Linked DNA regions of Caenorhabditis elegans. The protein of the gene in region 2 purifies or fractionates together with the protein of the main gene of each other region. This does not show direct contact. Each region holds a gene or a part of one and is shown on either strand. Other genes may lie near its edges.

Region 1 (2,914 bases), on a different chromosome or scaffold from region 2:
TCCAAATATTCTTAATTTCAATAAAGTCATTAATTTAATTTATTCATGTTCTCTAGCATAACAAAAACATCAAATCCGACTTTCCAATTCAAATATTTCAAAACAACATAATTGAAGTTATTCCAGAAACTTTTTATGCAAAAAATTTATTAGTCTCAATAAATGTTTTAGCTTGAATTTATGCTTAAAACAAAAAACATAAAAAATGTTTTAAAAAAATTACAGTGCGTGCAACTTCTACAGGGCCCTCATAAAATAGGTTCTTCAAGAGAAAAATCAGAAAATATTTTAAGCTACCAGCTACTCGGCTTCTCAGAAAACTCCTGCGACTTGATAAAAACACTTAAAAACTGTCAAAAGCTGTTATAAAGGTGCAGTTGATCAACACAGTTGTGAGCGAAATTAAGCTGAAAAACTGAATTTTGAAAAAGTTGCAAAAGTCGTTTGAAACGATGCAGGAATTTTTATAGCTAAACGTTTAACGGTTGGTAAAACGTAGCATGAGTATGCTGTAAAGTTGAGCCGTTATGTTGTTTTGAAATATTTGAATTGGAAAGTCGGATTTGATGTTTTTGTTATGCTAGAGAACATGAATAAATTAAATTAATGACTTTATTGAAATTAAGAATATTTGGAATACAATAAAAGATTAATGTTTTGCAACAAAATTAATGGGAATAGAACGAGATGAGTTAGTCTTCTTTGGAGCCTCAATTTGAAGTTTTCCTTCATTCGAAATTGCAGATTTGACAGAAGTTAAATCAACATCTTCTGGTAGAAGAATCATTTTTGAAAATGATCGTTTCGAGTATCCATGCTCTGATTTTTTTTCTTGAATTCCTTCAATTTTTAGTTCTCTTCCATCCAATTCAATTTTAAGATCTTCTGGTTTGAAATGAGAAACATCGAGTTGAACAGAGAATTTAGATTCGTCATTTACAATCTGAAAAATAAAACATTTGACAAATAAACAATTGAAAAAGAGATTATTTTCTTACCTCTCCAATATTGTCGGAAAAATTGAATGAGTTGTGATCAGCATTTCTCCAATATGGAAATTGAACAGATCCAGTGATTTCATCCAAGAAATGATCGAGAACATTTGAATCAGAAAATGGAGAACGGAGCATGAGCATTCTTGAAGTTTAGAGAATGAACAGTAAGCACTTGAACAAAGTGTATTGGTTTCCTCTGAACACGATTGGCTTATATACCCGTATCCTGCAGCCGTTTAGAATGTTCTAGAAGGTCCTAGATGCATTCATTTCAAAATACACCCCATAGGTGCAAAGAGACGCAGATTGAAAAAGTATCTGGGTTTCTTCAGTACGCACACTATTTCTCAATGTTCTGAATGTGAGTCGCCCTCCTTTTGCAAGAAGCAGCTCGAATGTTCTAGAAAAAGGTGGAAATGAGTATAAATACAGTGACAAAACCGAACCAAACAACATTCACTCTAATTGTGAAATCTTCAAACTACAATCATGTCACTTTACCACTATTTCCGTCCAGCTCAACGTTCTGTTTTTGGTGATCTCATGAGAGATATGGCTCAGATGGAACGTCAATTTACTCCAGTTTGCAGAGGCTCTCCATCTGAATCTTCTGAGGTAAGTAACACGTTTTTTTTTCAAGAGTTTGTATAAAAAAGATTTCTTTCAGATTGTTAACAATGATCAAAAGTTTGCCATAAATCTCAATGTCTCGCAGTTCAAGCCAGAAGATTTGAAAATTAATTTGGATGGACATACATTATCAATTCAAGGAGAACAAGAATTAAAGACTGAACATGGATATTCAAAGAAATCATTTTCTCGTGTTATTCTTCTACCCGAAGATGTTGATGTTGGTGCAGTTGCTTCAAATCTTTCAGAAGATGGAAAACTTTCAATTGAAGCACCAAAGAAGGAAGCGATTCAAGGAAGATCTATTCCAATTCAGCAAGCGCCCGTTGAACAAAAAACTTCTGAATAATTATTGTAATTTTATGATTTTTTTGAACTATGCATGTAATTACTATAAATTCCAGTATTCTGTTTCAATAAAATTTAAAAATAATATGAATTTGTGATATTTTTTGAAAGTTAGTAATAAATATGTAAATGCCGGCAATGTACTTCTTGCATAATGCCTATTTTTGGGTATTGCACAGCCCCTCCCATCCTAACACATTCTGCATTGCTCCGCGGAACCCGCCAGATGTCATGCTATACAACACCCTTACCCTCTCTTACCGCCACTTCTTAAACTTACCTGGCTGGGGGTTATCTCGCGATCATGAAGGCGGGATCCCCATGGTGAGGCCTATCCATTGCACTTTTGGATGGGCTGACCTGTGTGGCAGTCTCGAGTTGAGATTCGCCAACAGCTTAATTTTTGCGTATCGGGGCTGCGTGCGCGCGGCCCTGAAAAATATATTAATACTGTTTTCAATAGTAATTGGCATAACGAATCAGTTTCAAGTAAAACGTACGTCAATTTCAGTAGCAGAACGTTCAAACAGTTTTCTATCTGATCGCGATTATAACTCGAAGTCGTTGCCGTAGGAGTCCCTGTTAAAATGCATTTATGATCAGCTGAAATGACAAAATTTCATTATGAAACGAGCGAAAAATTGTTAACTGCTTTTAAAAACGCTCAATCAAAGTTTTGGTAGACTGTCGAATTTCCAAAAAAGAAAGTTGAAGCAAACCCCATATTCCATTACTAATATGGAGTTCACTACAGGGTTGATTTTGGAAACAGAGTATCGATGCTTTTTCCTAACTGAACACGATTTCGCTAATCATACCGGCTTTTTTTAAGAACAGTATTTAGATTTTTTCAGGGCCGCGCGCACGCAGCCCCGATACGCAAAAATTAAGCTGTTGGCGAATCTCAACTCGAGACTGCCCTGAGACTGCGAGTCAGCCCA
Region 2 (3,738 bases):
TTGTGATTTAATTTTTAAAACAAGCAATAATCTCTCAAGCAACTTTTTGCTAACAACTACGTTTAATAAATATATATTACACAAGATACACAAGATATTTAGTGGGTATATAACATAAAACGGGTCAGGTGGTTTCCTTAGTGGCGCGGTGAAACATTGCCCCTGCATTTCATTGGATGATAAGTGGGACAGCGTTGCTGCGGCGAGTGTATTTATGAAACAGAAAAATGGGAGGAGAACATTGAAAATTAATGGAAACGGAGTTAGTGACAATATATCACAAGCGAGTTATTTGAAAGGTGTTTGAAAATTTCATATGTTCAAATTTTAGTTGACGCTGACTATTTTACAAGATTCTATCTGACTAGGGCTGTGCAATCGGACGTCCGGCGTCCGGATGCGTGTGCGTCCGGCGTCCGGAAAAACTGGACGCGTGTGTGTCCGGCGTCCGGTTTTTCGGACGTCCGAAAATTTGTTTTTTTGTTTTTTGTTTACAACCTCACTCATTCTCACTGAGATGTAAACAAAAAACAAAAAAAACCGGACGCACCCGCGTCCGAAAACCGGACGGTGGGTGCGTCCGGCGTCCGGCTTTTCGGACGTCCGAAAAAAACGGACGTCCGGTTGCACAGCCCTATATCTGACAACATTGCTTGGAGTGTTGGACCTTCTAACTGCACTATAATAATACATAAAGCACATCAAAAGGAGTTGCCTGCGGCTGGAATCGAACCAGCGTCGCCACGGCCACAACGTGGAGTACTAACCACTATACTACGCAGGCCGAGAGATCTCGAGAAATCAGGTCTTTATCAGCAAATATTTTATTTTTTCCAAGTAGTGATAACTTTATCATTACTGCCGATTCATTTAAAAAATTAATGATGATTTCTCTTGAGAGTATCCAATTTCGAAAAAGTTTTTGTGGACGATGAAGCATCATCAAATGAATTCGGTGATGAAAATAGCCATAACAAGTGAAGTGAACGTCGAAATGTGGATGAGATACGATCCAATGTTGATATCCGGCAACTTCTGAAGACATGGCAACTTAATAACAATTTAGATTCCTACGGAAATTCCGGTACCGTATATTTTGATGTTAGAATAACAGTGACTGGATATTTTAAAAACTTCTGAACAATTTAAAATGTTTTATTATGATTTTTATTCATTTCATTGAACTTTCGGCCACTGATTTTTTTGCTGGAAGTTTATTTGTGCACTGACCATAAAAATTGTTCTTCAATAGAATAACGTTGTCGGGTCTCTTTTATTTTAATTCATTCTGCTTTTGCCATTTTTGTTTCTCCCACCGGTTGTCCATCTTGATAAATGTATAAAGAATACAAATATGTATAAACGTTTTAATTTTTCAAAAATTGCTTTTCATAATTTAAAAAAAAGTCACCCTTTGAAAATATTCAATAAACTAATTCAAGCCTCCAACTAAAATTCCGCATAAACTGTACACATGATTATTTACACTTTCTCCTGCAATACTTCATGTATATGATAGGACGAATAGTTTTGAATGAAGTGCAATTCTTCTCAATCATATTCAACCTCTGGTATTCACTCGTTCTGTATTGTAAAAAATCCACTCAGTTTCTCTCAACTGCCTTCTCCCAAACACTTGAAAATTAAAAAAAAGAACCGTTAAATTCACTTGTAGACTTTTCATTCTGCTTTTTGTACAGTTCTCAAAAAGTACATATCTAAAGGTCAATTTGCAAGCCGTAAAAACTGTGTTGTTTCAAAAGTTAATTGCCAATGAACAACGCAACTTGTGGTTGTTTGTGAAAAATCGCATTGAAACTTCGTTTGATTATCTTTCTCTTTTTATTTTTGAACGAATTTTATCATTCGAATCTCGTGCTGTTCTTGAAATAGGCAAAGAAGATAGATACGACCGTGTCAGAAGACATCTCCACCTTTTTTTGTCTGTATAAAAGGTATTTTCACAATATCAGTTACAGATAGATTTTTATTTTGTACTAACGAAACTAACGAAAATTTGGTCAACTTCCTACTCCGAAAATGGAAATGTTTCAAGAATATCTCACTGCACCATCTGTAAGTTTAACAAAACATATAATCTAAAGGTTGACTACGGCCACTGGCAAATGATTAAAACTTGTTGCTATGGTGCCAAATTAACCATAATTAAATATCCGAATAAAACTTTTAAAAAAATTTGGAAACTTTTTGATTTAGAGTCAAGTAGTGATGAAAACTGACTTTGCATCATTTTTTAAGAAATCTAGAGCACTATCGCATGTTCGAACCCAGGCAATGTAGGCATTTGGATATTTTAAGAACAGTTAAAACAAAAAAATTGAAGAAACAATTAATTAAAGTTATTTTTATTAAGACTTGATATAATCTTGAAACAACTCAAAAAACATCTCATAACTGTTTTCCATCCAATTTAGCATGTTTTACCTACAAAAAAACTAGAAAAAAAATGCAACATTAGACATTATGTACATCCTAAAAACTACGCAGTTTTTACTTTAACACAAATTAATATTCACAATCATTTGCTTTGAAATACTTAAATTACATGAATGTTTAGAAAAATAGCAATGTTTTTTTTTAGTTCCAAACTTGTTTAGAAATTACTTTTATGAGAGAGATAACTGTTTCCTTAAAGATAAGTGCAGAAACTAATCTTTGGGTTTATTACGTATATGAAAGTCTGTAAACTTCTTCAATAAATGACAAATTCACTTGTGTTTAGGTCGAAGGAAAGGTACAACAACTGATCGCATTCCTAGTTCAACAGCCTGCCGATCAAATCGACAATAGCTTTGACTTTAAAGCACATGACCAGGATCGTGCCGAATATTTTGATACAATGATTGCAGAGGCCTTGACTTCATTTTTCGAAGTGCCAACCGAACCGTCAGATATTGAACCGTTGAGCACTGTCCAGGATGTGGTCAATCGTGTGAACAGTGGAAATGCTTAAGCAAATTTGCTGATGATTGAAATAAATGCATTTTCCACAATGAAGTGTTTTTAAGACAGTTTTTTGAATTCAAAAATTTATGTAGGTACAAAAATCGAAATTTCAAAACTATAACTCTGTTCGAGTTGTGCTATGATTTACGGCAAAAACGAATGGAATGTTCTCCCAGACTACTGACGCATGCGGTGATGACACATGTTCTTGCAAACATGTCTGTAGAGTTGTTTTTAAGGGCAGATTAAAATAAATATAATGCAAATAAGTCACCTTTGCCGTTTTCATTGTTTTAGATTGTTCCATCTTTTAGAATGGGATACATCTGTCAGTTAAGAAATTGCTCAAAAGTGCAAGTGCAAAGAGTTGCATTTTGAGCAAAAATCTGTGTTATGTTACACCAAACTATATCCATAAAACAGAAATAAAAGTTTAGTAGATAAAAAACACATTCAGATAAAAAGTTAGTTCTTTAGAGATAAGGTTTAAGGCTAGTTTCTGAGTTCACTACGTCTGCAAAAATGCCAAAGAAAAATTATTATATTCTAAATGTGATATAAAATGTTTTTTGAACCTTTGAAAAATTGTTAACGAATAAGATAACATTTTATTTAGAGGTATTCGAATTTGTAATTTTAGAAGTTTCTACCTGCAAGGAAATGTGGAAACAGTTCTATGTTTTGTAAAATAAAGTAGTTCTGATTCAAATATACATACATTCTAGAAAGTACATTTTTATTATTTTTTGAAATTATTTCTGTTCGTTTTCC

What was found.
Region 1: the proteins of spig-15 (region 2) and hsp-16.49 fractionate together in Caenorhabditis elegans (co-fractionation; one large-scale study listed by BioGRID). This does not show direct contact.

Annotation. Positions count from the first base shown.
Region 1 is NC_003283.11:9,088,631-9,091,544, forward strand, and holds hsp-16.49 (Heat shock protein Hsp-16.48/Hsp-16.49), read right to left. Parts: upstream 1,137-2,914; coding exon 999-1,136; intron 944-998; coding exon 650-943; downstream 1-649. Other genes in the region: hsp-16.11 (Heat shock protein Hsp-16.1/Hsp-16.11), read left to right, coding at 1,485-1,610, 1,663-1,974.
Region 2 is NC_003284.9:11,992,809-11,996,546, forward strand, and holds spig-15 (Acyl carrier protein), read left to right. Parts: upstream 1-1,975; 5' UTR 1,976-2,040; coding exon 2,041-2,076; intron 2,077-2,743; coding exon 2,744-2,974; 3' UTR 2,975-3,031; downstream 3,032-3,738.